Arabidopsis thaliana: one gene and its partners. The protein of the gene in region 3 interacts with the protein of the main gene of each other region in a pairwise test. Each region holds a gene or a part of one and is shown on either strand. Other genes may lie near its edges. The genes, in order: SARA1A, SWAP70, AT4G25680 and AT1G12810.

Region 1 (6,897 bases), on a different chromosome or scaffold from region 3:
TGAATCAAGACTGAAACAATCAGAACAAACGGTCCTAATAACAAAGGTATCGGCAACAAAAGAATCAATTTCTCAACCTCTTTTATAAAAATATTACACAAAATGGTTGTACTAATCATGCTTGCACAACTTTATACAAGCAGGCCTAAACGTTTCAAAAAAGTCTTTGAAAAAGTTGAGCATAAAATATTCTGTAATAAAGAAGAGGAAAACATAAGAGAAATTAGGTGAGAGACATTACTTTTGGGACAGCACCAGGTTTAACTCTGTTGAGGACATTGCAGAGTAAAATTCCACTTCTTAATGCAATTCTAAAATCTTCCTCTGAAGGATCTGCTGGCAAATCTCTTCCTCCAACTACACCAAGTGTGTTCCTTACCCACCTTGCTGCTTCATACCTTCTCAAGTCTGAAGGATCTACTGGCAAATCCCTTCCTCCAACTACACCAATTGTGATGATTAAAATAAGCACTTAAAAATATGAAATATGTTTCATGATGATCTAGGTAAACAAATATAAAGATCGTAACAACAAAATTTCAGAAAATCATTGGTGAAACAAGAAGCTCACGCGGTATATGGATTCAAAAAATGCGATGGATCATCCTAAAAAAATTATGTAATCCATCTATATTCCCTAATTCAATTATCAATTACAAACCCTAATCTCAAAAATGGACCAAAAGGACAAATAGAAAAAGAAAGAACAGAGGAATATTGACGAACGTACAAGTTTCATCGGCTTTTTTCAAGCTCGAAGAATCCACACCAACGCTAACTTGAATGTTTCGTTGTTTAAGAAAATCCTCCAGAATCGTCGCCAAACAAAGTTGTGAATCTTGTTGCTCCGTCGCCATTGACAAGAAACGATTCAATGCTCTTAGCTTGATCAACAAGAAACCTGGAAAATTCTCAAACCCCAAATCTCGACCACTAGAATCTCACAACCAAAATTTAGAATTCTTAACTCGAAACAGATTTTTCCAAAACCGAACAAAGAAAATCAAAGCTGTGTAGATAGATACAAGAATATTCACTTATATGTGGAACATTGCTCAGATTTATAAGGAAGAGAAAATATAATGAAAGAAATTGAGAGAGAACAAAAAAAATGTTTGACCCTCTCTTTGTTTTTTTTTTGTTTTTTTGTTGTTCTTTGTATGAAATTAAAACAACAGAAAAAGGAAACGAAGAAGAAGAGCGAGGCATGATTCAGAGGCCCCCGAGTCTCCTGGGTTTCTATAGATGGACAATTTCAATATTATAAATCATTTTCTGTTTATTATTCTTAATTGCTCCATTTTAATATGTACGAACTTCTATAGCTACGGAATTTATAACCCGTTTATGTAGTTTCCAACCATCCACTAGGTTTTATAATGGGAATAAATAAATTTGTACTATGTTTTAACAAAAATTCTTAGCGATTACAATTCCCAGTTGATCTAAACAGAATTTGTATCTCTTTGTACTAATAAGTAATACCATTGTCTTATTAAAATTTATGTTTAAATTTGAAAAGTTGCATGTGTAGCTAGTTATATACCAATAGAAATGTGCAATTCTATGCAGAGCTATTTTACTTCCCTTATAATAAATTAGAAAGTGAAAATAAATTCTGGGGATCTCTAAATTCTATGAAGAAATAAAGGCTTATAATGAAACTCTTGGTTGGACAACTACCTTGTATAACTATTTTTTCTTGCGTATGTAGAGGTGTTTTGAAAGCCAATATAAACATGATTCGATGGTTTTATAACCAGCTGAATAAAAGTCAGCTTGAAAATTTATTTTTAGTTTTCCTTCGAGATATATATAATTCAGTCAACAAGAAATAAGATATTTAGAAATACAAACGAAAAAAGTTTTGCTTTGATGATTGTAACCACATCTTTGAATGTGACCCTATTGATAATCCAATTCATTGAAAATTATATACTTCAATTTCTTGTAGACTTTTTTCAATAATATTAATTCTTTTTTTTTCGCTTTGTGATACATTCATGGAGTACATGATACCAACTCATTCAAAAATTGGTGAAGATATAATATTTTAATGGTGTATATAATACACACGATATTGGGAAAAAAACAGACACGTATTACCACGAAGTTATATGTTGCTATATATCGTATAATGCTTGGAAACTTGAGACTAATTAGTTTAGCACCAGTTGGTAACCTGATGTAGATTATTGTAAAATGATCTGTGATGCGTGTTGCGGGTCGTGAACGGAATGAGAAGAGGTAGACATTGTAATAGGTTAGTTTAGTTTGGTCACTTAATGTTGTGTATTGATTATGCCTGGAAAATGAAACCAATGGAACGTAACTAGACTCATTCAGAAATTAAACGAAATGAAACAGAAATTAAAGATAGTAAATAGACCTACTTAAGTTAATGTTTGTGCTTGTAATGATCGTAAAATTGAACATAACAAAAATACATAAAGATAGATTTAGCCAGGCCATATCCAAAATTCTTTTTTTTCCTCGTGGGACCTATGACCCAAGCAAAGTTGTTGGGCCTGTTCATAGCTAAGAAAAAGTTAGTTGGCCTTTCCTTAGGAATTTTTCAAAATTTGATAAATGAGAGGCTCGACACCTTACATAAACGTAAATATTTCGCTAATATTGCTCTATAGTAGACTAGTAGTGGCATCCATTTCTTTTTTCCTAGGAAATGAAGTTAGATTTTAGACGTTGACCAGATGAAATATAAACAGAGATCGTACTACACAAAAGCTCATTTTTTCCTTTTTGGGTTAGAGCGATAAATAAACATAAAAGAAAAGATTAGTATGGAGATACACAGATTCATGAAACGTATGGTTCACGTATTACTATTGTTACTAGCGATTCATGCGCATATCCAAGCCGTTGCTTCAATCACAAATACTTCTGTCTCAGCCGTCCATCTGAAACCTAATTCCATCTTAGGTAACAAAACGTGTTGTAAGATAGATTTCCCGGTTTGGCAGCGGGAGCTTCGAAGCAGCGGTGGTGGCGGTGGAGGAGGTCGTGGTGGTGGTGGAGGTGGCAGCAGTGGTCGAGGCGGCAACAGCGGTAAAGGGGGCAGTAGAGGATCTTCTAATAGCGGCGGCCGTGGCAGCAGTGGAAATGGTAATGGCGGTACCGGTGGTGGCCATTCTGTAGGAAGCGGGGGTGACTGCTTCAAACACCGTGGTCTCACCGGAACTACAATATTTCTCGTCTTCGTAAGCACTTTGATTCTTTATGCGTTGAAACAGTAATTACATGTTATTTTATTTCTGTTTCAAAGTTAAATACTCCATTGTATATACACTTTGATCATGTCTGTTGAACAATAAAAAAAATGTATCCTATGTGTTTGAATTAAATGTGGGTAGCTTTCCTCAGACGGCTCATAATAATAACTTGTGGAGGAAATAAACTCTCCTGGGTCCTGGCCATTAAGGTTTTGCCACGTGGTATTAAGCCTTTAATCTTAAAAAGTTTAACGTAATAAAAAACATCGCAACGACAAGTTCTAGGATCCGACGGTTCATATTGATCGAATGACGATGATGACTACCAATCACAAGGCTCCGCATCAATTTACCAGTCCCCATTACCCACGTGTTTTTTAATTTCTTTTTTTGTTTGCATATATATACACTAATGTTACAACATACAACTATATCTTCATCAACGAAACGAAACTTTGATTTTGGTTTTCTGTTCTGTTCTTCATCTCTCTCTGTCTCCCGATTCTGTTCTGGTGATTTTTTTGGTTGTTGTGTGGATTATAATCCGATATCAGGAAGAAGACGTCATGTTTTTATTCGATTGGTTCTATGGAATCTTGGCCTCGTTAGGGTTGTGCAAAAAAGAGGCGAAAATCTTGTTTTTAGGCCTCGACAATGCCGGAAAAACTACTTTGCTTCACATGCTCAAAGATGAGGTAGGCTTTATTACTTCTACGCTCTCTCTTCAACTAATATATGTATTACTGAGAAATTTTGTGATTCTTGTAATCGAAGATGCTTTAATATCGCTTTTGGTGTTGCAGAGATTAGTTCAGCACCAGCCAACACAGCATCCCACGTCTGAGGAACTTAGCATTGGCAAAATCAACTTCAAGGCCTTTGATTTGGGTGGCCATCAGATTGCTCGTAGGGTTTGGAAAGACTGCTATGCCAAGGTTCACATCCTAATCCTAACTAGATTACATGTTTTGTGTTTATTGATTTGCTTATGATGGAACCAAAATCAAATCTTTCTCTGTGTGTGTGTATAAACTATAAAGGTTGATGCTGTTGTCTACCTAGTGGATGCTTACGACAGGGATAGATTTGTGGAGTCGAAAAGAGAGCTAGACGCTCTTTTATCAGATGAAGCCTTAGCAAATGTTCCCTGTCTTATTCTTGGCAACAAGATTGATATACCTTATGCATCCTCAGAAGATGAGCTTAGGTATTACTTAGGTCTCACCAATTTCACTACCGGTAAAGGCATAGTGAATCTTGAAGACTCTGGTGTTCGTCCCCTTGAGGTCTTCATGTGCAGCATCGTCCGCAAAATGGGTTATGGCGAGGGTTTTAAATGGCTATCTCAGTATATCAAGTAGGAAACCAAGACAGCATTGGTGATTTGCTTCACGTTTTATGAATCAGACATCTCACTCTCTCTATTCTGGTTTTCTTTTAAGTTTTAATAGTAGTAAGTCGACTCCAAACTTCTTGTGCATTATACTATTGGCGTAGTTGTGTTTCTTTGTTGAAAGAAACCGAACAAAACAGATTTTTGTTCTAATCAATTCATTAGAAACTAATCAAACCTGGTGGCCGCATTTTCACCGAGCCAGAAAAATACAAATGTGCTTACAAATGAACTTGATTACCGTATTTAGCAATAAGTCTGGCCTCTATTGACAAAAACCAGCTACTTCTCAGACTGAAACATCGCAAATGGTGCTTTGGCCAGTAGACTTTCTAAGGCGGTTCTTTTTCATCAACGTTCGTACCTTCTCCACATCTTGCCATCTCCCTTCCTCTGCATACAAATTAGATAACAACACATAATTCCCCGAATTCCCTGGCTCAATCTTCACTAACTCCATTGCTGCAACTTCTGCTAGCTTTACATCTCCGTGGCTACGACAAGCACTGAGCAGCGACCCCCACATTGCCGCATTTGCGTTTACGGGCATATTTTTTAGAAACTTAAACGCCTCTGTGATTCTCCCACTTCTACTCATTAGATCTACCATGGCACCGTAATGCTCGGTTCTCGCCTCAAGTTTGAATCTTTCCATCATCAAACCAAACAATTCCTCTCCTCTCTCCACCTGACCTGTGTATGAGCAACATGCCAAAACCCCCAAAAATGTCGCTTCATTTGGAGCTACTTTCCCTTCCTCTATCATAGCATCAAACAAGTCTATCCCAAATTCTCCCTTTCCGTTTACGGCTGATCCCGATATCAATGTGTTCCATGAAACAACGTTTCTACGCTGCATTTTTCTAAATATAGCCGTTGCTGCCTCCAAGTCGCCGCTTTTGCAGTAGAAATCTACCAAAGCGTTTCCCACGGTGATGAAATCTTTAAACAAACCACTGGATTCTGCGGTAGAATGAATCCATTTTCCGGTATCCAACACTCCTAGAGATGCAGAAATTGGCAAGACTGTAACCACAGTCGCCTCATCAGGGTCAAAACCTTGATCAATCATTTCGCAGAAAAGCTCCAAAGCCTCACGATCTCTACCACATTTAGACAAGCTAGATATCATCGAATTCCACGACACAATGCTTCTTTCGCTCATCTGTTTGAACAAATGAAGACCTCTTTCAACGTCCCCGGAGTCACAGAACCCGCGAATCATAAGATTCCAGACGACAACGTTTCTCTCAGACATTTCGTCGAACACTTTCTGTGCATCACCCATTCTCCCACCGGAAGTATAAAGCTCCACCACCCCAATCCTAATTTTCCCAAGACGGTGGAACCCAGTTCTTATAAGCTCACCATGAACGCATTTCCCAAATCGCAAATCAGAAAGAGACGAACAGGATTTGAGCAAAGGCGCGTAAGTATACTCGTCAGCCCAAATTCCCCGGCTTTTCATGGAAGAGAAGAAAGATAAAGATTCTAGAGGCGGACCGACAAGCGAATAGCATTTGATCATGGCGTTGAAGACCAGAACGTTAGGGTTTTGGATATGAGAGAAGACGCGGTTGGCGTAATCAGAGTTGCTGAGGGATCCGCAGATAGAGATGAAGTGGGCGAGAAGGAGATTGGAACCATGAAGGAAGTGACGCAGAAGATGGGCGTGGATTTCGGGTAAACGGGTTCGAGTATTGTGGCCGTGGAGAAGACGCAGCAGCTTACGCTCGATTTCCATTAAACCTCCTCTGCTCCTCTCTACCACTCTCGCTCAATTATAGTTGTTTTGCGCCAATTTCAAACGCTATTGGTTTAAGAGTACCGGTTAAATATCGGTTTAATTTAACATGGTTAAGTACCATTTAGCTACCCTCGACCATCTGGATTTGCTTATGTTCAAGTAGTCCACTTCTAGTTATCCTGCGGTGGTAGTATTTAAATTTGATACTAGGATTCAAAATGTCGCAACTCAATTTTTTTATGATAGAAGTATAAAACAATATACTACATAGTCAGAATGAGTTACTATAAATAAATATAATTTTTTTGGAATTGTCAAAGCAAATAGTTGATACTAGAATTGTCATTGGTTGCTTCCTTACCATGGTAATAGTATCATTCTTCAGATGAGAATCAAGGGCTTCAACCGCCCCGGCTTCACTCACTTGGTCCTGCAGTCATGTGTAGATGACCTTGATTCGAAGGCAACCGTTTCAACATCTGCTTATAACCCAAATGCACACATCCAGTGGGAAAAGTTAACATGGA
Region 2 (9,238 bases), on a different chromosome or scaffold from region 3:
ATAAGTTTCCATTTTACGTTGGAGTCAGTTTTGGTCTAGAGATCTAGAGATCTTATTATGTGTGGAAGTTTTTTCAATACTAATATATGGAAGTTTATATCTTTGTATATTATCTTATCCTAAATTAATTTCTACGCGGTTGGTTTAAAATATCATTATTGTTAATGTGTAACATATGGTTTGATTTGTTTTTTGTTTTTTTATCTATTACTTTAACTTGATTAGAATGCTGAATGCTCAAACGGCCAAACCTAATCCTCAAGACACTCATACGTCAGAGACAGCATGAAAATAGGTAGTGTTCCTTCGTCAATTCCTCGGAAAATTTGGGACATTTCTTCTCATTCTTGATACACATGTAGCTAAAATTTAGGTTACGACTTAATCACTGCCTATGACTATGAGCATGTTACACTTGAAAATAACAAAAGAAGAAAGAAACTCGAAAGTTAGTCAAATCATTACCACTACAAATCAATTCAAATACCTTTGAAACTCTTTTTGTCTCCTAGAAAACAATCTCTCAAAGTAAGACCAAATTACTAATAGCTTCTTAGCTTGGCGCTTTTAGCATTTCTCTAACTCCGGTTTACTCTCTTCGACCTCGTATCCATGGCCAGTCTCTGCGGTTGAGATGTTGCTGTTATGATCAACGGATTGATTTCTGTTAAAGGTAGCTTGGCTTTGGATATAAGACCATTTATCTTGAAAAAGATAGACCAAGGCAATACAAGAGAGTTGTGCAGTGAAGAGTATGGTCCAAAGATTAGCACTTTTTGATGTCTTTTTGGCGTAAGCGTGTAAACCTGTGTATATGTTTATTATCCCAAGAATAGCAATTGATGTTCCTAATATCCAATGTCCTACAAACCACTTCCTTCTAGCTTTTTCTTCTCTGCAATGCGAGTAAATCAATTAAAGATTGAATATAAAGTACTAGACGCATTTCGTAGTTCTCGTCATCATAACATTTGATTAAGTCTAACTAATTTGCATTCAAGATTTTTCTTAGAAATATTCAAGAACAAAATAATGAGTGTTATTAATCTTAAGCTAGCTTAATTTTGTCACAAAGAATTATCGGTGTAACAGCTTATTTTATTGAAGAGAAAAGAAACAGAAGTACCTTGGAGGTCGGAGGAAGCCAAGAAGAGCTTGGAACCATACAATGACGTAAAGTCCAATTCCAAGCTGTTGGTGATGATTACTGAAGGAATTGTTGAAGTTTATTACTGACATTACTGCCCCTATTGTCACAAGTATCACTGCAACCATCTGCTTCATAAATTAATCACATTGTTAATTGCTCACTTAATATTCCAAGTAAACTATGAGCCGCTTGTTGATAGATAACAATAGTTAAAAGTACTTGCTGCTGTTTAATTATCAAATATTGTTTTGTAACAAAATTGACTAGCTAGTAGGTGAGGTTTCTTAGTTAAGTATCAGAATGAGAGAAAGAGAAAGTCAGAAAGTCGTTAAAGCTAAAAATAAAGAGGAAGAAGATAGATGCTTTAGCTTGGCCTTCAAGTTTCCATGATTATCAATGTGATTAACAATCTAGAATAACCTAAAAGGCCCTACTAATTACTAATGGAGTACTAATTAAAAATCACGAAAAAGTTGTTAATTGGATGCAATCTTTATTGTTTAGATGAAGAGAGAAGCATCTTTGCTTTACTCTCCATCCACCTATCTTCTCGCACCGACCATTAAATTTCATTTTCAACTTATACAATACTTTCAACATACTTATGATTTAGTTTGTTGAATTGTAATATATATTTGATATATATAATTTAAATAAGAGAGCCAAGAAAAATGAAACATGCCTGAGAAGTGACATGAAGAAAGAAGAGTCGTCGAAGAGTGATTATAGGTTGGTCTTTGATAGACATTAATCTGATGGAGATTATACCAATTGGCATCAAAACACCCATCGCTGCCCAAAGCATAAAGCCATGCACTTTGATTTCGTACACAAGCTTTGGATTTAGTTTCTGTTCAAGAAAAATAAAAATAAGAGCTTCATACCAATATATATTCAGAGTTTTTGATTAAAGTTATTAACACGCAGGCATTTTATACAGAGAGTAGGAAAAAAAAACTATAACCTTTAAGCATCATGGAATAATAATATGTACATGACTTACATACATTATAATCATGCGATGATAAATAAACTCAATAGGTTATAAGATCAGAAACAAAGGAAATGCCTGGAGCTTCATTGTAAAGATTTATCAGCTATATCAATGAGATTATGAAGAGTTTGAGATTATTAGATTTTAATTAGGATAAGCGAGAGAGAAAGAAGAGCATACGAACCTCGGAGATAGGAGAAGTTTCGACTGGACCATTGACATCAATGGCCAAGCTTCTGGTGTTTTCTTGGGAGGAGCATAGGGGAAGGAGGAGGAAGAGGAGAGAGACTAAGAGTTGATGATGAATCTCCATGACTTCATGTGGTTTGAAGTTGAAACAATAAATACAAAGTTTAGAATTGATGATAATCAATTCATGAGTTCATTTCATAAGTATAACTGTTAAAGTTTGTGTGTATCTAGCTCTTTGTAAAGAATTGGATGACGGTATATATGGAACTTGAATACTTGATCCACTAGTTTCTTAGCTATAGATAGAAGAAGAGAAAAGAAAAGAAAAGTTTTAGAATTTGCTTTTAGAGTGTAAAGAAATGTGATAAAAAGAAAAAAAAAAAAAGTTAAGCTCGCAACTTTGTTATATAATATGGTTTTGCATGGAGGTTGATGGTTTATTTTACTAGTATCTCTGAATTTAAATGAAGAAAAGCAAGTGGAGGAATGGGCAATCGATTTGATATAACGAACTTCATTTTTGTCAATCTTAATTAGATGTTAATAATGATGTTTTATATCTAAAAAGGACTATATATATATAATTTGAGTATTGAATTTAATTAATGAATGTAAGAAAAAACAGAAGAATATTCAAGTGGATGTCACTATCTCTGCGACTCTACAGCACTTTTGGTTTTCTATGAAAAAAAAAAGAAGAAACTGAAACTGAAAATTCCTTAAGGTCAGATTCATCCAAAAGTAGAATTTTAATGGACTTTTATGTTTTGTGGAAGAATGTCAGATTTTGCAAGGGAAAGTGAGTCATGGCAGGTTGCACTAGCTCATAGACCACTAACAATATGTTACTGTCAACAAACATCATGATTTCACTATGGAAGGTATACATGAATGACCACATCACATGGATATATATTTTCTTATTTTCAAACACTAATCATAAGAACATACCAAATTTTAGATAAATGGTCAAACTTATAAATGTCAAAAGGTGTCCAAATTCTGTAGTATATTATATAGTAGAAGTTTCTTCTTATTTTGGAGATTGAATATAAAGGAGCCAAAAAAATATGGATTTTGATAGCTTCTTAGACGTTTCATTTAGGAAATATATGCATGGTTGGGTTGATGAGAATGCCATAGAAGTGAAAAACAAATGAGAAAATTCATACAAAAGGAATCTACATACGTAGAATAAAGCAAGAGGACCACTTCACGTTTTGCAGCTTTCCCACTTCAGTTAACCCCAAAATTGAATATTGTCTTGGCTTACATGTCTACTACTCTTTTGCTTTGATGCTTTTCAATCCATTTCTGTATCCCCAACAAGTTGTTGTGTTTCCTCCTCCTATGTAGTTATCAGCGCCTAGCTATTAAGGAAAGAGTATCATCATATCACATATGATTACTCAAATCTCATATATTATTGAATATTATGTTATGTACTTATATCATGTTTCATTACGACCATTAGGGAAGTTGTAGTACATTGAAAATCTTGAAGATTAAGAGAAAGTGTAAAGCTGTGTCTAACGCATCTATGTTTGAAGTCCCTGTGAACTAAGTGTCTAAGTCACCACTACCAAGCGTCGAAGCTAGTACGCAATATTTCACAATCTTGCACACATTTGAGATTAGTTGGGCAAAGTAAGAACTCTGCTCTCTCCTAAACGATTGGCTTGTTACAGCCCGGCCCATTGATGTTCCTTAGCCCATCGTTTATGTAAAGCTTCTCCCTTAACAAAGCCTACCTTCTACAGATCTACTTAATCATCCTCATAACCAAAAACAAAACAAAAGAATCATGTGATGACACCTCCACCGTCAGATCAAAAACCATAAAAATGAAGTGAACAAACAAAAAGTGAGAAACTCAAGAACCGGTTCATTTGACGAGTAAGCTGATCCAGTATCGTACCGACCGGTTAAGTTGATTTGATCGCGTTGAAAGAGTGAAGACAGATTCAACTGCAATTCCGCGAAACCAAACCTAACAGCATTTTTCTCCAATTCCTTCTTCTTCTTCTTCTTCTTCTGTAACCTCGTCTTCTTCAGCTTATACTCATAGCTATACCAAAGAAAACCTCTTAAAACCCTTCTTCTCTCGATCCATCGATCAGCAACAATTCACTTCTAATCGATCAAGAGCTTTCCGATCTCGTCGATCCCAATTAACATGGCTTCCAACGGCGCTTCTCCGGTCTTTTTCTCTCTTGATCTCTGTGTGCTACAATTTAGTCTCTTTCTTTTGGCTGCTTTTCTCATTCACACTCTTAAATTGACCCATTTTGTCAATTTCTGAAAATGCGCAGAGAATTGTTGATGCTACTGAGAACAGCTTGGATAAGATCAAGCGACAATTGGCATCTGGCTCTGGTCGGAACTTGCTACAAGGACCTCTTTTCAAGCGATCTGAAACTGTAAGTCCAATTTTTTTAAGTGAAAATGATCAAAACCAGTTTTTGCTTTATTGATTGGGATTTCTTAGTTAGCTCAAACTAAGAAGACTCTCTGATAGCTCACTATTAGATTTCTATAGCTTAAACAAGTCTTTTGGCCTGAAATGTCTTGGCTTATTCAAAGGTTCACAATGATAATATCTTTTGTTTGTGTTTATGTATGAATAGCTGAGAAAATGGAACGAACGATGGGTGATACTTGATCCAACAACAGGGAAAATGGAGTATAAGTGAGTTATATCAATTTGCTTATGTAGCTGCATTTGTGTGTAGACCACTTCATCATGGTTTTATTCATTTCTGATGTATTTCCATGACTCAGGACGAGGCGAAATGAGCCAACTATCAAGGGAACAATTTTGTTTGACGAAAATAGCACAATCTCCATCTCTCCTGTCAACTTCCAGTATGGATGCTACATTCTTTTTTTTGTTGCTCTGTATAATCATCATTATTTGGTGTCTGTTTGTATCATTGACTTTGTTTCTTTTGTGTTTCAGGGGGCTTCCAAAATATAATGGTTGCTGTATTTGTATCCTTGGTTTTAGTAAAATGTTGGCATATTTATAATTGTTTCTTTTGTCTATAAGGAGATAGTTGATTGGAATCTAGAGTTGAATTTTCTTCAACTTGATATAAGATATTGGTACCCCACAGAAGAAAGATTACTTTTTGTGTGCAGAGACTCCTGGTGCAGCTAAAGCTTGGGTCACAACCTTACAGTAAGTCATCTGGATCTTCATCTTTTTGTTTGCTTCTCTTTCTGTCCTTTTTATTTACTTACCATTCTCTAGAGAAGCCACCCCGCTTATTTCATCTATCTTAAATAATTCATAGTTGTGTTGATTTAATGGTTTCGTCGTCGACCATGTTGAAAGAATCATCTTTCTCTCTCTTTTTACGTTTCTTACTGAAAATGTAATACCTTCTAAATGCCCCTCAAAAGCCAATCTGATAAACCTTATCTTTCTTTGTTCGTTCCAGTGCGACACAGCTAGTTCTAAAGGCCCATAAGGAGGCTGTCGAATCTCTAAGTGGAAGTGGTTCTGCAACACTTGGTACCGTTGCAACCGTTGTTGCCGCTGCCAATTCAACAGCATTGGAATGTTCCAGAGAAATTCAAGCAGCAATGCAGATCTCTTTGAGGAATGCATTGAAAATAACGCCAAATAAACCGATTGATGGACCACTAGATGATTTGACAATAATGAAGGTGTGGTATCTTTGCATCTCTCTTTCTCTTCGAATTTGGGAAACTTTTGTGAATAGCATATTGACATCCTTTGGCTGTTGAGATTCTGAAATGTCAAGATGAACGATGAAAGCATATAGGGACACCTTACAGGAAACTCTGCTTGTCAAGGATGAAAATTAACAGAATTAGCATAAATCTTATTCGTCCATCTTCATTCTAATGTCCAGGTTAACCTTATTGAGCCACTTACATCTTACAGGAAACTCTGCGTGTCAAAGATGAAGAATTACATAATTTAGCCAGGGAACTTCGTTCTCGTGACTCAATGATAAAGGAAATAGCAGATAAGCTATCTGAGACTGCTGAAGCAGCTGTAGCTGCAGCATCTGCTGCTCATACAATGGATGAACAAAGGAAAATCGTTTGTGTGGAATTTGAGCGCTTGACTACAGACTCACAGAGACAGCAAGAAGCCACAAAATTAAAGGTAATGAGGCCATGTCATATATAGATACTTTTGCATCCTTGTGTATGTTTTGTTGTTTATTTGATCTTTATCTCCTATGTAGCTCAAGGAATTGGAAGAGAAGACCTTTACTTTGAGTAAGGAAAAAGATCAATTGGTTAAGGAAAGAGACGCTGCTCTCCAAGAGGCACATATGTGGCGGTCTGAGCTTGGGAAAGCCAGAGAGCGTGTTGTCATACTTGAAGGAGCTGTTGTGAGGGCCGAAGAGAAAGTGAGGGTTGCAGAAGCAAGCGGTGAAGCAAAATCAAAAGAGGCTTCTCAGAGAGAAGCAACTGCTTGGACAGAGAAGCAAGAGCTTTTAGCATATGTGAATATGTTACAAACTCAGCTTCAAAGGTGAGCCTATCTGAATCTATCTCCCAGGGAAACTCATGACTTTTGAAGGGTCATAAATCTCTTTATTTTTGAATAAACAGGCAGCAACTAGAGACAAAGCAAGTGTGTGAGGAGAAGACTGAGTCTACTAACGGCGAAGCTTCTCTTCCAATGACAAAGGAAACAGAAAAGAATGTGGATAAAGCATGTCTGAGCATTTCAAGAACAGCCTCTATACCGGGAGAGAATGTAGTCCATATGAGTGAAGAGCAGGTAGTAAACGCTCAGCCTCCGGTGGGAGAAAACGAATGGAATGATATTCAGGCAACAGAGGCAAGAGTTTCTGATGTAAGAGAAATATCTGCAGAGACTGAACGGGACAGAAGAAACAGCTTGGATATCCCGGTAGTGTCTCCTGAACCTAACGTTCCACGCAATGATCCGCCTTCCGAATCATTTCATCACCAGCCTTGAATAAAGATTGGTAGATCTTCGTACATTTTAATATACTCTTTGATGGTCTGGTAATGTTTGGAGAGTTGATTCTTCTAACAACAAAAAGAATTTGTCTTTTTAGTTTTCTTGTACATTCAAGAGTTGTTATGTATCTGCCGCTCTTGAATTTGTCTGACTAGGGAATGATTCTTTTTCCCTTTTATTACAACATGAAGAACAGAGAGATATGTGTTAAACTTTGACTTATGTTTTTGGATTCATATAAACCAGTTTTCATATAAATGCAATCCTTCAACAAACCACGATGGTTGTGATGTTAGTACCAGTTTTATCAAAGACCTACACTGAATAGAGGAATATACATGGGTTGAGTCACTCTGATTTTAAACTCTTATTGAAAAGCTTGAAAAGTTACAGAATACAAGAAACCAGAGACAACAAATGAGACAGAGTTCCGTTTCTTATTGAAACAACAAGACAATCGACCCGAAAACGAACTCCCTCAAAGAACACAAAGCTCACACAAACCCCCCAAGTCAACATCTCCTTGTTTAAACAGGTAGTGAGTACTTAGCGGAAACCTCCTTCCACGCAGCACGGCTACTAATCTTATCCCACCAAGCGCTAACATGCTTCCTATCTTTGATCAAATGAGCCTTCCCAATAGGACCAACAAGATACTCGGTGAAAGGAAGGTGAGCCAAATCAGCTAGACTCACAAAATCACCAGCCAAGTATTCGTTCTTAGAAAGCTGAGCTTCATAGACATCAAGCACTTCTGCAAGCTTCTCTTCACTCTCCTTAATAACTTTCTCATCAGCAGGGAAACCCATAAGTGGTGCAAAGACAATGTTGAGCGTTAAAGCCAATAGTGGTGGATGGTAACTTGTAGCCTCAACGTCTAACCATTGCTCTACTTGTCCTCTCTCTTCAATAGTCTTCCCCAAAAGATCAGGTCCTTGTGATCTATACTTCTCTGCTATATACCTCATGATCGCACGCGACTCTGCAACACAAATCGAAATCTCTTCAACACTCATTTACCTAAACAATCTTTTCCAAACAATCAAAAAAATCTCAAAGATCATGTGATTCATTGATCATGATCGCAAATGATCAGATCCATTATCAGATCATGACTCGTGTAGTAGTAGCTTAAAAGAGAAGAAGTGTACCGAAGATTTTGTAGTCTCCGTCGACGAGGACTGGGATTTTACCGAAAGGCTGCATCGATCGGAAAAAGGGATCATGATCGGAAATAGTCACCGGAAAAAAAGAAACATTTAGTAAAAAAGAGGGAAAATCGGAACCTGAATCGCGAGATACTCAGGCTGTCTCTGTTCTCCTTTCATGAGATCGACATTGACAGTTTCGAATGATACTCCCTTCTCCACCAATGTCACAACAGCTCTCTTTGAAGAAGCGAATAAAGGAGCATAGATTGTCAACACCATTTTTCTTCTCTCTTTTTTTTTCTACTATCAGTTTCTTTCTAAACTCACTATAGCAGGACGCGATTTTATAGAGGGAAAGAAAAGAGAGAGAAAAAGGGATCTGGTTAGCTGCGTTTGCGGTAGTAGGCTAAACGCAGTCGCACTTATTAGTATATTATTATTTATACGTGTCGGTATAGGTGGCGGCTAGCTAGTGGCGGCAACGTTTCACGTCATATTTGACTTTTCTCAGCACGAAATTTCCAACGTCCCATCAAATTATGAATTACATGTGTGTGTTTTTTAACAATGTTATTTATTCATTTTTAATAAGCCTAATAAAGAGAGAGACCACTTGTTGTAAGTATATTTGATTAAAGATATTCCCCACTTTGTTGTAATAAGATGCCAAAATGATTCTCACTTTTTTGAATCAACACATTTTAATAAAATAGTTACGAGACTTGATTACACTTTGTTTTGTTTTGGTTATAAAAAAAAAATGATCAGGCAATGGA
Region 3 (7,762 bases):
AACACTGCCAAACCCTCCACAAGTACAGAGATAGGGAACAAAGAGGAAGATACAAATCATACAATCACCAATCAGAAAAAGCAGAACCGTGACTCTGATGTTCTACTATTTCAGTAGCAACTGTACTGATCCACCCCAATGTATTCACTTACTGTATATCCACCTATCCAAAATTTATTCGTTTGTATCCATTACTTTGTATCACGATTCGAACACACCTCTCTTTTTTTTTCCCCTTTTCACAGCAGAACGTGTGATTTTGTTAAGAAGATATTTTCAACACGTTACTGGCAAAGACCAAGCAAGTCTTAGCATATGCATTGCACACCTATTAGAGGGTTTGTTAAAAGAATGTGATATAAGATAAGCAACAATGCAGTATGAAGAGACTTCAACATGTATAATAGATACAACTCAAAATGCGTCTTTAATATTACAGCGAACGAAAACAGAGTATAAGGTCTAACGTCAAGAGAAAAAAACAGAGCATTGACACCAAAGCAAGCAGAAGGCAAATGTTTATTTTAAAAACCGAATGAGGACGAGTCGTGGCATCTGTCATCCCCGGAACATCCCATTGAACACAAAGGCGTTCCCATCAGCATTTTCAGATATCTGTAGCGCCGAGACAGCCTGAGCAGCAATCAAATCAGCTGATATTCCCATGTTGTTATCCCAAGCACCCCTCCTCGTGAATGGCGACCAGTTACTATCTCCTAGTCCATAGCCATTTGACACAAACCCAATCCCTTGAACCGCATAGCTAGCACAGCTTTGGCGAGGAACGTAGTTAGTTCTTTCATCTCTAAACAGATCCATTGTGAAACCCTTTTCTTCACCAAACTTGACTCGAGATGAATCATCAGAATCTTCGCCCAGTAGGACGTGCAGAGCAACAGCTTCTGCAATTGCAGCTCCTTCTTCATCTAACCTTTGTTGTTCTTCCAATCTCTTCTGCTTCTTCTTTTCAAGCTCAGCCCGGATGGCTGCAGAAGTAGCAAGAGCTTTCTCCAAACGTCTCTTTTTCTTCTCAGCTTGTTTGATACGATCAAATTCATCTTTACCATGCTTCTTCTTCGCTTTCCTAACGACTGGCTGAACTTGCTTGCACACCGTGTGATCCATTATTGCTTGACTATAAATTTCTAACTAAAAAACTGCACTAAACTCGATGATGTTGTAGAGGAACTCAAGAACTACACCCACTCTGGTATATAGGAATACCTCATGGTGCGGACAATACAATCCCAGAAAGAAACAACAGGAGACAACTGAAGAGAGAGGTTATAAGAATTCGCAGACTTATTCTTCGAAATCATTCGTCCAACATTCCCGCACCCCTTAGACTCGCCCATTTTCTGCATTGACAATTACTTGATTAGTTTCAAGTTGCAGAGGAGTAGTAACACAGAAATCCATAACATCAAAATCTGAAAGCCAAAACAATAGCATTCAAACTTGTAAAAGCTAACAGTTGTAGATAGACCACCAACCAAGCAGACACAATTGTTCTAATGACCTCGAAAGACACCAAAAGTCCTAAAGAAGTCAAACAAAATCAGCCACCAATTAGATTGAAGATAGTCAACAACAGCCAAAGAGTAAAACCTAATGATTACTCAAACCCTAATTTCCCAGAGTAGGAGCAAAGTTGAAGAATACAAAGGGTATCCATCCATCCACAGAAAGAGTTAATTCCACGGCAAATTTCAGGATCTCTCTTAATCCTCAGCTAATAACTCAATTAAGACTAATGGATACAAATTACACAAATACAGACACCAGATCTGCCGCAGAAACTAATTTTCAGATCAAAATTAACCTCAATTCAACAAGAACAATAAGAGAAACAATCGGATTTAATCCATTATGTAGGTCTAAGATCCATGAATAAGCATAAGATCCGAGGAAGCTAATCAAAAAGACTTTTAACGAAATAAGTCAATTATATTGAAAAGATAAAGGGAAATTGAAGATAAACGGAGAAACAAAGATGATGATGAAATTTAGATCCAAACCTCGGCAATATGGCATAGAAGCAGCTGCCTTCAAAGAACTCCTTTAAATTAATCGGATAATACAGAGAGATAAACAAAAACGCAGAAGTAAAGTTGCTGTTTTGATGCAGAGAGAAAGAGAGAGGAATTTCGAGAGATAAAAAAGAAGAGCAGACGAAGAAGACGAGAGAGAGAGGATAATAGAAGGAATTATAACTAGTACAGAGAAAGAAACGCAGCGCGACTTCTAATGAAATGGGGACACGTGTCGAATGATGTCTGACTTTTTTTTCAAGTGTAAGTTTTCAATTGGGACTTTGGAGACTTGGCCGGTGCGACTTCGTCTACTCCCAGTATTTTGTGGGTCCTAATGAGGGCTATTAGCAGCCGTTAGATCCCCCGATAACTGTTTTGAGATGTTTCCGGTTCCAACTTTTTTTTTTGTCGACTTCCGGTTCCAACTTTGCAATATTTATCATGTAAGAAAGAAAATTTGAGCCTTTCACGAATATGTACAAGTGTCATGTTACCTTACATTACAATAAAATATAAGAGCTTAATTTGCATTCAAAGTTTATCAACTTGACTAAGCTTTGTTTGTGCTTTGAGCATCCCATTCAAGATTCATCCACCAAAATGAGACTTTGAATACACTTTTGATATAACAAAAAACTTGGTCGAATTTCTTTGGTCCTAATTTATTTCCTGAATCCCATCTGTTGTACTGGGCCTAGGCCCAATTGGCCCAATATGTATGTACCATAAAAAAGAAGTCATTAAGTTTTTATGATTGACTTTTTTACATAGAAGCAAAATTATAAATTTGGTGTATGAATGGATGGACTAATTCGAGACGAATCAGATGGCTAACGAAAACCAGACTTGTGTCCGTTTTGCATTTTCGAAAATTATCGGAAGAATCGGTCAATTGATTACCCTCTTTTTTTTTTGTTTACCCCATTTTTTAATAGTCATGAATCATCTTCCTTGGTTGTGTCAGATTACTTAAGTCATTATTTTGTTATAGAGATGCTTTACTAGTATTTTTGATTTGTTTTGGTAAGGACACTTGTCTAGCTAAAGAAATGTTAGTTAAATGAAAGAAAAAAGGTTCAGTAGTTGACCCGTTTAATCAACTGCGAACAACGTTCATACTAATATAATTTGTTACCATAAATTCATAATCTAAACGCGTGCTTAAGTTGTAAACAAAAGGAATTAACAAGGGACACGTAAAGTAGCAATTCCGCAGGAAAAGCGAGGGTAAAATTGTCATTTCAGTGGATCCCCACCACCACCACCACCGCCGCACCAGTTTCTTCTTCATCTCCTACGTCTGAAATTGAGAAATCGGAAGAAGAAAGATAAGTCTAATCTTGTGCCTTTAGATTTCTTTTCGGGGAGATCTAGTAGTTGTTGGATTCGTTAAACGGAGAAGTGGATTTGGTACGAGTCTTTAGGTTTCCTTCTTCACCAAAAGCTCTATATAGAGAGAATCTGCGAGCTCTTTTTGGTAGGAAATTAGGGTTCGTGTTGCTTGGTAAATATAGAATCAATGACGGAGGTTGTTCTGCATATATACGATGTGACGAACAGTGGATCGGAGAAGACTAACAACACCATTGTTCAGATCAATAGGTTCTTCAAAGACGGGATCGGTCTTGGCGGTATATTCCACAGCGCTATTCAGGTACTACTCTTCGTCTATATTCTATGAATCTACATTTATGTACAATTATCGATGATGTCTAAGCTTGGTTTTGGTCTACTTTATGTAGATTTGGTTTTTGTTTCTGTGTATGTATGTGGAAATTAAGAAGTTGACGGCATGATACTTTTCTTTTGATATGTGAGGCTTTAGTTTAATGGTTTATGGTCCTAAAGGTCTGGAGCTGAAGTCTCTCTTTTGCTCAGGATCTTGTGTTTCCTAGTACTTTTGGTAACTTTCCATATGATAATGATTGCGATATATTGACCAAGTGCTCTCTGGAGACTTGTTAAATCCAATGATGGCTTACGTTTACTTCTGTGATCTTTGACCTGGGCAAATATAATTGCATATACCACTTTCCCATTTGAGTCGTGACAATTTGGTGTATTCCAACAAAACTACCAGAATTTAGGTTTTCAAGTTAGTGCTAATCATTCTATGTTCTTAGGTCTGTATATCTATGCAATATCATTTGATTATTCTTGTTCATGGTTTTGTTATTTTTTTGTGTCTTGTAGATGACTATTGATTCGCAGGGAAGAGTGATTGAATAGAATATTTTATGACCTTTGTGCAGGTATATGGAAACGATGAATGGTCTTACGGGTATTGTGAACTAGGAACTGGTGTATTCAGCTGCCCGAGTGGAAAGAATCCAATGTACACATACCGTGAGAAAATCGTCCTTGGCAAAACAGATTGCACAATCTTCATGGTGAATCAGATGTTGCGTGAACTCAGCAGGGAATGGCCTGGACACACTTATGATTTGTTGTCAAAAAATTGCAATCACTTCTGCGATGTACTCTGTGACCGGCTTGGTGTGCCAAAGATCCCAGGTAAAGCCATTTTTTGGGAATCTGGTGTGTGTGTGTGTGTGTTTTGTCTTCAAGGCTTATGTGACGGCTTGGGTTCTGTCTCTTAACAGGTTGGGTTAATCGCTTTGCTAATGCTGGGGACACAGCCTTGGAAGTGGCAGGAAACACAGCAATGCGGGTGGGTTCCCTTTTGTTTAGCTTCTCTACAACGTAAATGCAACATTATGGGTGTTCAAAACTTGTAAATTGGGATTTTGCAGATGAAGCAAGCCAAAACTGAACTTGTGTCAGCTAGTAAAGTGGCTTATCGCTTCCTCTCGAATGTTACTTCGAACGTAACCAATGGCTCCAATGGCTCTCCACAACGACCGGGAACTCTCAACAATTCAGACAGCGGGAACTTGAGATTGCAAGGTAGTTGGCTCAAAGGCTTACTTAACACAGCCAAACCCTCCACTAGTACAGAGATAGGGAACAAAGATGAAGATGCAAATCATGCAGTCACCAATCAGAAGAAACAAAGCCGTGACTCTGATGTTCTACTGTTTCAGTAGCAACCGTACCGATCCACCACAATGCATTCGGTTAGCTGTATATCCACCGGTCTAAGAGTCACGCACTATTCTCCTCGTCTGTACCCATTACTCTGTATCAACGTTGGAACCTGTCATTTTTTCTTGAGTTTTTAGCTCACGTGTGCTTTTGTTAAGATCATTCTCGCTTGTTACTGTCAAATCTTAACATCAAAAGGTTTATTAGTCTCAATACACTAGAAATTGTGACTGAATTTGGATAATCACGTGATTCAAGAGGTACTCTGTAATCTGTATAAAACTTAGAACGTATTTGTGAATGTTACAAAGAGAATTCAGAAAACATCTTTTCAGCTAGTCTAACATCAAAAGATAAACAACGAGGAGGAATTTTCACACCAAAAGGGGTTCTAGAATAAAGAAAAAAACTGCAACTCTACTCATAGCAAACACTTGTTTCTGCAGCCAAGTTTGGCACGATGGCTTTTGTCATCCCCCGAACATCGTCTCGAAGACATAAGCGTTCCTATCAGCGTCCTCAGATATCTGTAGTGACGAAACAGCCTGAGCAGCAATCAAATCTGCAGATATTACCATGTTGTTATCCCAGACATCCTTCATGAATGGCTTATATGACACTGACCAGTTACTATCTCCTAGTCCATAACCATTTGACACAAACCCAATCCCTTGAACCGCATAGCTAGCACAACTTTGGCGAGGAACATAGTTGGTTCTTTCATCTCTAAACAGATCCATTCCGAAACCCGTTTCTTCGCCAAACTTGACTCGAGATGAATCATCAGAATCTTCGCCCAGTAGGACGTGCAGAGCGACAGCTTCTGCAATTGCAGCTCCTTCTTCATCTAACCTTTGTTGTTCTTCCAATCTCTTCTGCTTCTTCTTTTCAAGCTCAGCCCGAATGGCTGCAGAAGTAGCAAGAGCTTTCTCCAAACGTCTCTTTTTCTTCTCAGCTTGTTTGATACGATCAAATTCATCTTTACCATGCTTCTTCACTTTCCTAGTAACTGGCTGAACAACTTGCTTGCACAACGTGTGATCCATTATTGCTTGCTATAACTCTTTGATTCCAACTAAAGTAAAATGCACTAAACTCGTTGTCTAAGAGGATTTCAAAGACTACAACCACTCAGGTATATAGGAATACCTCATGGTCCGAACATTACAATCCCAAACAGAGTCAACAAGAGACAACTCAAGGGAGAGGTTATAAGAATTAGCAGACTTATGATTTGGAATCATTAGTCCTCCTTTCCCACACCCCGTAGACTCTCCCATTTTCTGCATTGACGATTACTTGATTAGCTTATAGTAGTTGCAAAGGAGAAACAGATAAGCCTTGTGCATAACATCAATCTTAAAGCAACAGTCAAAACAATAGCATTCAAACTTGTAGAAGCTAACAATTGTAGTTGCAAAACATTCCACTTTATTCAAGGAACATAAAAAGACACCAAGTCCAAAGAAAGTGGTCAAACATAAATCAACTAACGATTTCAACAGTCAACAATAACACAAGATAGAAGATACAACAAACAAGCTAATGCCTGATCATTTCAATGGATGCAAACTAGAAGCAATCAATCGAGAGTGACCAGATCTGCCTCAGAAACCCATAATTAAGCATTAAATCTGATGAACAAATGAAACTGCTCGAAAAACTTTTCTCGAAAGAAGTCAATTCAATTAGAAAAAATCTATGGAAATTGAAGATAAACGGATCAACAAGATGATGAAATTGGATCCAAACCTCTAGAAAATGGCATAGAAGCAGCTGACTCAAAGAACTACTCTAAAATTTAATCGGATAATACAAAGAGAGAAAGAGAAACGTAGCTTTCTGGATCCAGAAGACTCTATAGAGACAGAACATGACATACAGTAGTTCAAGAAACGTAGGCTGACTTGTTGTTTGTATCCAATCAAAACAAGCCACGTGGTAAATGACTTAGAAGCAAATTTTACTTGCAGTTTCCTTCTTTGGGACGTCTATCTACTACACTTGGACCGGTGCAACCATATCTTGTCCATTAGCTTAATTCAGCTATCTAAAATTATTATCTCAATTTTTTCACTATTCAAATATACAAGATCATGTATTTCACGTGATTCGGATGGTTTTAAATTTGTAATTTTTTTTGAGCATTTGTTAATATTTTGAAGTAACTTTTTTAAAGAAAAAATCAAACTAATAATTTAGATTTTAGACCCTCGTCGTCTTATATCCTACCCCTTTATGTATCTGTTAAAATAATTAATTTTTCCAAACAAATAATAATATAACGGGTATGGTCATGGAACGGAAAAAATTGGGACGGAAATGTGTATGACCCGAAATAGATATGCATAGTTGTGCCTTTCATAACAAAGCTATTAACCGTCTTCAGAATCCATGTAGCTTTTCTTCGAACGATTGATCGAGACTTCGGTCCCAACTTTGAAAACAACTTAATGCATAAGCGTTTTCAAGAATGCTCTCTTAATTTTTAAAAAATTCAGTGGACTTAAGCTTTTAAGTGTAGCTAAGACACGTAGCAAATTGGGGAACCTTAAGCTCTTTGTCATTAGAAAATGGAAATTGCAAAACGCGTGGGGTTTACTTATTTTTCGTATTGGAACCGAATAATCGTGATCTTGGTTAGGTTAAAAATAACAACTCATTTTGGTTGGTGGAGTAGCCAC
Region 4 (7,441 bases), on a different chromosome or scaffold from region 3:
CTCGTAAACCAGTGGTGAGCAACACATGCCATAACCAATTAACCATACCACTCCTCAACGGTCAAGATTCCTTTTTATGCTATCCATTGAACCATTCTCCTCCGTTGGATCATCCAACACCCAACAAGCTTTAACTTAACCATGGTTAGTTTTTTGGTCAGCTAGGTTAAAGCTTCTCTCCTCTTGATTAAATTGTTCCATTACAGAGTTTCTGGTTTTTTTTGGCTTGCGTGATCTCTCTCTTCTCTTCTCTCTCTCACTCATCCAAATCTTTGATCATCTCATCATCATTGGACTTGAAGCTAACTCCAGAGTTTTATCCAGATTCATCATTTTCCAACGTTTTTCTTCAATCGAATCATCAGCGAGTTTGGTTCCGACGACGATCTTAGTAGCTTCATAAGCTCAAGGTCTCGAAACTCTTTCTAGATCTAGCTCATTTACTTTCTTGTAGATCTGAATCTTAATCTCTGTGTTTAGTTTATCGAGTTTCAGGATCTGTTGTTTCTAAATTAGTTTGTATAATTTGAATCTCGCTTTGTTGCAGATTCTTCAGGTTTCGGTGGATTTTCTTGAGCTCTTCTAAGCTTCTCCATTTTGTGAGCCTCCGATTTCGAACCTGGTAGTGTTGTGGATCTCACTGGACCACGAAGCTTTCTTCACTGAGCTAAGCTTGAAGTCAATTCCTCTGTTCGACAATCAATAGAGGAAGATGAATTATTTCCCAGACGAGGTTATAGAGCACGTGTTTGACTTCGTAGCTTCTCACAAAGACAGGAACTCGATATCTCTGGTCTGCAAATCATGGCACAAGATCGAGAGGTTTAGTAGGAAGGAAGTGTTCATCGGAAACTGCTACGCGATTAACCCGGAGAGGTTGATCAGGAGGTTTCCATGTCTCAAATCCTTAACTTTAAAAGGGAAGCCTCATTTTGCAGACTTCAACTTGGTTCCTCATGAATGGGGAGGTTTCGTGCATCCTTGGATTGAAGCTTTGGCTAGAAGCCGTGTGGGACTTGAGGAGCTGAGGTTGAAGCGGATGGTTGTAACAGATGAAAGCTTGGACCTTCTTTCACGTTCTTTTGCAAATTTCAAGTCTTTGGTTCTTGTTAGCTGTGAAGGGTTTACCACTGATGGCTTAGCTTCCATTGCCGCTAATTGCAGGTAAAGGCCTTTCTTTTACTGGCGTTTCTCTAGGTTTTATGTTGTTTTTAAAATGTGTTGTTGTCTTTCTTATTAGGCATCTTCGTGAGCTGGACTTGCAAGAGAATGAGATTGATGATCATAGAGGTCAATGGCTGAACTGTTTTCCAGATAGCTGCACTACTCTTATGTCGTTGAATTTCGCTTGCCTTAAAGGAGAGACCAATGTTGCTGCTTTAGAAAGGCTTGTTGCTAGGTCACCAAACCTGAAGAGCTTGAAGTTAAACCGTGCAGTACCGCTTGACGCACTCGCAAGGTTAATGAGTTGTGCGCCGCAGCTAGTGGACTTAGGAGTAGGGTCTTATGAGAATGAGCCAGATCCTGAATCTTTTGCAAAACTCATGACTGCCATTAAGAAATACACATCGTTAAGGAGCTTGTCTGGCTTTTTAGAGGTTGCTCCACTCTGCCTCCCAGCGTTCTACCCAATTTGCCAAAACCTTATCTCTTTGAACCTCAGCTATGCAGCTGAAATCCAAGGCAACCACCTCATTAAGCTTATTCAGCTTTGCAAGAGACTTCAACGATTATGGGTAAGTTTGTTCTCACTTTCTCTTTTCACTGTCCTGAAGAAAATAAACTAACTTGCTAACCTGACAACAAATGGTTTTTATGGTTCCTACAGATATTGGATAGTATTGGTGACAAAGGACTTGCGGTTGTCGCTGCCACATGTAAAGAGTTACAAGAGCTTAGAGTTTTTCCCTCTGATGTACATGGTGAAGAAGATAACAACGCATCTGTGACTGAGGTTGGACTAGTCGCCATTTCCGCAGGTTGCCCTAAACTTCATTCGATTCTGTACTTCTGCAAACAGATGACAAACGCAGCGCTCATAGCCGTGGCCAAAAACTGTCCAAACTTCATCCGGTTCAGGCTATGCATTCTCGAGCCACACAAACCTGACCACATTACATTTCAATCACTGGACGAGGGCTTTGGTGCAATCGTACAAGCTTGCAAGGGTCTAAGACGGCTCTCTGTCTCCGGTCTCTTAACCGATCAAGTCTTTCTCTACATCGGTATGTACGCGGAACAGCTCGAGATGCTTTCGATAGCTTTTGCGGGGGACACTGACAAAGGAATGCTCTATGTGTTGAATGGATGCAAAAAAATGAGGAAGCTGGAGATAAGGGACAGTCCTTTTGGGAACGCTGCGCTTCTTGCTGACGTGGGTAGGTACGAAACAATGCGATCCCTTTGGATGTCGTCTTGTGAAGTAACACTCGGTGGCTGCAAGAGGCTCGCGCAGAATTCGCCACGGCTTAACGTAGAGATCATCAACGAGAATGAGAATAATGGGATGGAACAGAATGAAGAAGATGAAAGAGAGAAGGTTGATAAACTTTACCTCTACCGAACAGTGGTTGGGACTAGAAAAGATGCACCACCATATGTTAGGATTCTTTAGTCTCTTTGCACCTTCATGTGTTTTCAAACTTTTCTTTGTACTAGTTTTTGCCTTTTATCAAACTTGGAACAAATACAAATGTCGCATTTTATTATCACCGTAATTCAGCCATTGAAAACATAAATTTAGGTAAAATACCAATCACGTTTTCCAAATAATACAAATTACAATGACATCCACAAGAAACCTACTTGTCTAATCCATGCTCTGGATGAGTGCACTCTCAAACAAAGAGGTAAACATTAACAGACATTGACACACGATAGTACACAAGACATAGAGTGTTATGGCATATGTCTTCGATTAGACACATAATGCTGACAGTAAACGACGAGATCCACAGAGACTGGCGGCATTCTCAGAAGCAGCATTCCTCCAACAAACAGCAACAGCAAAGAGCAGCAAGACTGCAATTCGCAACCCACAAAAAAAAGGATTCCGTAATCGCAATTTGTAAGCAACATGATTAGGCTACTTGAGGTCAATCACAAATCTCTTACTAAAAGAAAAGCTGCAGATGATATAACATTTTATCTACAAACTTTATACTAAATATTATGGGGTTAAGAATGTAAAATAAAAGCCATTAGGTAGTTCTTAAGAGAGTCACTAGATCCATTGAAAAGTAAAAGATCCTGTCCAACAGATAAACATAAAAATGTGTCTATACATGGATAGCTCTAAACTCATCATAAAAAGACAAGAACCTTCCTTAGAAGATCAGCAAAGCACTCAGAGAACTAAATCTAAGGATTAATACGAATCTCTTGCTCTAAAATTTCGATAATTGGCCACCAAACAAAATGATAAAGAAGTCAAGTCAGGGTTCACAACGGAACTCTTGAGTTTCACATTATGGCTTATCCATAAATCAACTCAAAGGAATCTGGTTCTGATCAGGATCATAGTATTCCCAAATTCCATAAACCAAAACACTAGTTCAATGAACCCTGAGCATTAATCAGTGATCCAACATAAAAGCTAACAAGATTGACCAAAAAAAACACAGAGAATCGAATCAGTGCACTCACAACAATGAAAGTAAACGAAAATTAAAAGGCGGCAAGTGGTAGAGAAAGAAACGAACCAGCCACGGATGAAAGAGAAGCAACCAGAGTCAGAATCTTGGTAATGGTGATGATCATGATGGCAGTGGTCGTAATTTTGCGGCGGAGGAGGAGGTGGTGGTCCGTGATGCTGATGAGGATAACCTCCTCCGGCGAAGTAGCCTTGATAACCGCCTTCGTAAGGACGTGAAGACGGTGGTGGATATCCTCCGTAAGGCTGAGGTGGAGGATATCCTTCGTGATGCGACGGAGGAGAAGGATATCCCGGCGGTGGCGGTGCTGATGGATAACCCGGAGGTGGATAGTGAGATTGGTATCCTAATTCGTCCGATCAAAAACAGGATCTTAGTACTTTTAGAATAGATCAAAATAAGAGAATCAGAATTTAGAATCGAAGAGAAGAGAATCATAAGAAGGAGAAGTGATTACGAACGAACCTGGAGGAGGATACGATTCCGGTGGGACTCTGTCGTAGCTCATTTTTTTTTTGTCAAAATCAAATTTCACTTTTCGAATCAGAGAGTTTTTTTTTGAGATTATTGGAAAATATAAATATATTTTAAGTGCCAGGCTTTTCTTTTCATTTAAGTAAATTCACGTGTCACTAAAATCATGTTGCTCACGTTCTTATTGGATTTGGGCCGATAATAATTTTTATTTATTCGTTTGTTTGCTATTGGGCCTATCCACTTATTTGGTAAACATGAAATTCTATCCATCATTCAGAAAAACAGTGTTAAGAAGAATTATTTTTTCAAGTAAATGTTAGAAAAACGAGAGCTACAACTAATAAAGTTCCCATGCATATACTATTGCGCATGCATTTTGATCGCTAAACACAAACGCTTTGTTTTTTTTACGGCGAGAAGCAGTGGAACACAAAGGCAAAGCTATCATAAACACCCCCGCCAGTGACCCGGAACTCATTATCTGGCGGAGATTCCGATATCCGAGGGTAACTATTTCTCTTCTCTGGTGTCTTGCTTGAAGCTGAGCCAAACCTCATGCTTTTTCCGGCAACGGTGGCAGCTTTTTTCTCCAATCTCCGGCGGTTGATATACTCTTCCGATATAAAGACATCCATTTGATAAAAAGGGATTTAAGAAGTGGAAAACCTTTGAGGGTGTAATTTATGGAAATGATTATGAAATAAAGAGATATATGTTTTGATTCATAGTTTGTTGTTTGTTGAGCTAGGGAATTGAAGTGAAAGGCTGAAAGTACATATATTTTATAGATGGGGAAAAACTGTGGGCGTTAGGTTCCATGTTTTGGCACATATATTAACTAACTTATACATATTTATTTTAAATGTTTTCCATAAAAGTTTTTTTCCCCCCGTTATAGATGTGTACTCGTGTTGAATGCTATATGGTTATTAGTTTTGTGAAATAATTTAATAGATAACTAATTAGTAGAACCTAGTTTTCGTGGATTCGATGGATTCTCTTTTTGGTGCAACTTTTGGCTGAATACATATTAAAATAACTTTATTACATCACGTGTATGCATCATATGATGATGTGCATGATATTGGTAATCTCGAGATTCGAGAATCTATCTACTGAAGTATGTGAAAATACAAATAGTCATTATTTATAATTATATAAATTCCTCAAAAATCCAAACGAGGAGCCGTAAACTATGCAAGCCACAGATTATATCGAACGACAATTGTATGATGTTCTCAGCATGAAAACCGCTATAGAACGTAACGCCTATTTATACTTTCAGCTCTTTGTCCCTTTTCTCGTCTCACATGTGTTCGTCCTTGCTAAACTACACTTTTGCCACTGTACTAACATCGATTTATTGTATGGAACGAGAAGAATAAAATGGACTAATTCATAGTCGATATTTGACAATCAGTGGATTAACCAATTAATGTTCGTTAAAGTGCACGAGTTATTTGATGCATGCGTGAATTCAACTTATTTAAAACTTTAGGTAGAGCCGATATGCAAAACTATAACTCTAGCTAGTCCGTTTCCTTTTTCAATAAAAAAAAACTCTAGTCCCTTTTATGACGAACCCACAAAATCCAAACCCTAATCGATATCAAAATAAATAACAATGTTAAGTAAACTGAAACAATGAAATAGCCTCAGTGCATTAGATATTTAGATATATCAGTGTTTATCTATATATACAGATATAATAAACTTCTGCATACATAAAAAAACATGGATTATTTGGTAGAGTTTTCTTCTTTGAGTTTCTTTCCCATCCTTCTATTGGGCCAATTTTAGGCCCATGATAGCCCAATCTTACGCGTGTATGAAAAGATTTGACGTTAAAGCAAATTTCAAAAAACGACGTGTAGTTCATCTCTAAAACGAAACAACGGCAAGACGTTAAAATGCAATCTTTTTTTTGTAGTTGCTCCTTCATCAACCACGTGTCTTCACCTTACTGGTTCAACCAGGAAGCGAAATATTGAGCTAAACTGATAAAGCTCCTTCCTCCGCCATAGCCATTTCTTCCTCTCTGTAGTTCACATAGGGGGAGAGTAAGAGACAGAGCTCAAGCAACAGTCTCACTCGAGATAAAATAAAGTCGTGATTTTGATTGGACCCATGATTCTCATTCGTATAAATTATCATCTTTCGGCTTAATCGGAAAATGGACGTTCTCGCCTTATCCTCTTCCGCTTCCGCCGCCGCACCCTCCGCTTCTCTCGCCGGAAAATTCCTGTCGTTTCCTTCTAGGGTTAGAGTGAGAAGAAACCGAGAGAATTTGTTAGCTAAACAGAAGAAGTTTTTAGTTTCTGCTTCGAAAAGAGAAGAGCCTAAGCTCAACGAATGGGATCAAATGGAGCTCAACTTTGGCCGTTTACTCGGCGAAGACCCGAAATTGACTTTGGCTAAGGTGAGAGATTTCGTAAAAAACGGTTCTTTGAATTTTATGTATTTCGATTTCTCTCTGTTGTGCTGATGATGTTAATGGTGAAATTTATACAGATAGTAGCTAGAAAAGTGGATCCAGAAGCTTCTTTTATTGACATTGAGAAATCTTTCTACAAGAACAAAGGTAAAATTCCTGAAGTTGAAGAGATTCCATTGGATTGGTCAAAGGATAACAAGAAGAAATCTACTAGTTCACTGGATGGATTGAAATTGGTAAAGCCTGTTCTGAAAGATGGAGTCAAGTTCGAAAGGCCAGTGATGAAGAAGCCAAGCCCTGTTTTGAAGAAGCCATTGGTGGAGGCTGTTGCTGCTCCAAAGGTGCAGAGATTGCCTAATGTTATATTGAGAAAGCCGAGTTCGTTTTATACTAGTAATGGTGATGATGAGGAGTCTAAGTTGCGGTTGAAACCGAATCTGACATTGAAAATGAGAAATGAGAGGGAAAATGAGAGGTTTAGTGATATGACATTGTTGAGAAAACCGGAACCAGTGAGCGTAGTTGCAGAAGAGGAAGACAAGCCTCTTTCTGATGATTTAACTATGGAGGAAGGAGAACAGGAAGGTGGAACATATTCACAGTATACTCTTTTGGAGAAGCCAGAAGCGAGGCTCCAGCCTGTCAATGTAGAAGAGGAAGTTGGAGATAGCGGAGGAGTGGAATCATCTGAGATAGTAAACAACTCAATTCAGAAGCCAGAAGCAAGGCCAGAGCTTGAGAACATAGAAAAGGAAGTTGCAGATAGCGGAGTTTTGGAATCATCGGAGATAGAAAATAATTCAATTCCAACTGGTATAGAGACAAACTAAGAATATTTTTAAATAGTCTAACTTTGTGCTGATTCATATGTTTGTTG

The links.
Region 1: the proteins of AT4G25680 (region 3) and SARA1A interact in a two-hybrid assay, tested with the Arabidopsis thaliana proteins (one large-scale study listed by BioGRID).
Region 2: the proteins of AT4G25680 (region 3) and SWAP70 interact in a two-hybrid assay, tested with the Arabidopsis thaliana proteins (one large-scale study listed by BioGRID).
Region 4: the proteins of AT4G25680 (region 3) and AT1G12810 interact in a two-hybrid assay, tested with the Arabidopsis thaliana proteins (one large-scale study listed by BioGRID).

The regions. Positions count from the first base shown.
Region 1 is NC_003070.9:2,961,351-2,968,247, forward strand, and holds SARA1A (secretion-associated RAS super family 1), read left to right. Parts: upstream 1-3,672; 5' UTR 3,673-3,796; coding exon 3,797-3,925; intron 3,926-4,033; coding exon 4,034-4,165; intron 4,166-4,270; coding exon 4,271-4,591; 3' UTR 4,592-4,622; downstream 4,623-6,897. Other genes in the region: AT1G09170 (P-loop nucleoside triphosphate hydrolases superfamily protein with CH (Calponin Homology) domain-containing protein), read right to left, coding at 242-441, 731-857; AT1G09176 (uncharacterized protein), read left to right, coding at 2,802-3,254; AT1G09190 (Tetratricopeptide repeat (TPR)-like superfamily protein), read right to left, coding at 4,913-6,367.
Region 2 is NC_003071.7:13,140,993-13,150,230, reverse strand, and holds SWAP70 (Pleckstrin homology (PH) domain-containing protein), read left to right. Parts: upstream 1-4,170; 5' UTR 4,171-4,512; coding exon 4,513-4,536; intron 4,537-4,648; coding exon 4,649-4,756; intron 4,757-4,963; coding exon 4,964-5,025; intron 5,026-5,117; coding exon 5,118-5,201; intron 5,202-5,295; coding exon 5,296-5,327; intron 5,328-5,435; coding exon 5,436-5,517; intron 5,518-5,779; coding exon 5,780-6,008; intron 6,009-6,249; coding exon 6,250-6,477; intron 6,478-6,559; coding exon 6,560-6,852; coding exon of another isoform or gene 6,853-6,856; exon of another isoform or gene 6,857-6,932; coding exon 6,933-7,305; 3' UTR 7,306-7,566; downstream 7,567-9,238. Other genes in the region: AT2G30890 (Cytochrome b561/ferric reductase transmembrane protein family), read right to left, coding at 568-895, 1,127-1,275, 1,833-2,000, 2,329-2,457; GSTF10 (glutathione S-transferase PHI 10), read right to left, coding at 7,839-8,293, 8,463-8,511, 8,598-8,741.
Region 3 is NC_003075.7:13,084,873-13,092,634, forward strand, and holds AT4G25680 (PPPDE putative thiol peptidase family protein), read left to right. Parts: upstream 1-3,100; 5' UTR 3,101-3,552; coding exon 3,553-3,687; intron 3,688-4,285; coding exon 4,286-4,547; intron 4,548-4,636; coding exon 4,637-4,704; intron 4,705-4,786; coding exon 4,787-5,080; 3' UTR 5,081-5,289; downstream 5,290-7,762. Other genes in the region: AT4G25660 (PPPDE putative thiol peptidase family protein), read left to right, coding at 1-117; AT4G25670 (stress response NST1-like protein), read right to left, coding at 559-1,125; AT4G25690 (stress response NST1-like protein), read right to left, coding at 5,549-6,124.
Region 4 is NC_003070.9:4,364,052-4,371,492, reverse strand, and holds AT1G12810 (proline-rich family protein), read right to left. Parts: upstream 4,238-7,441; 5' UTR 4,162-4,237; coding exon 4,119-4,161; intron 4,000-4,118; coding exon 3,702-3,999; exon of another isoform or gene 3,474-3,701; coding exon 3,375-3,473; exon of another isoform or gene 3,022-3,374; coding exon 2,973-3,021; 3' UTR 2,689-2,972; downstream 1-2,688. Other genes in the region: AFB3 (auxin signaling F-box 3), read left to right, coding at 713-1,164, 1,241-1,736, 1,829-2,614; AT1G12805 (nucleotide binding protein), read right to left, coding at 4,538-4,765; AT1G12800 (Nucleic acid-binding, OB-fold-like protein), read left to right, coding at 6,304-6,549, 6,642-7,377.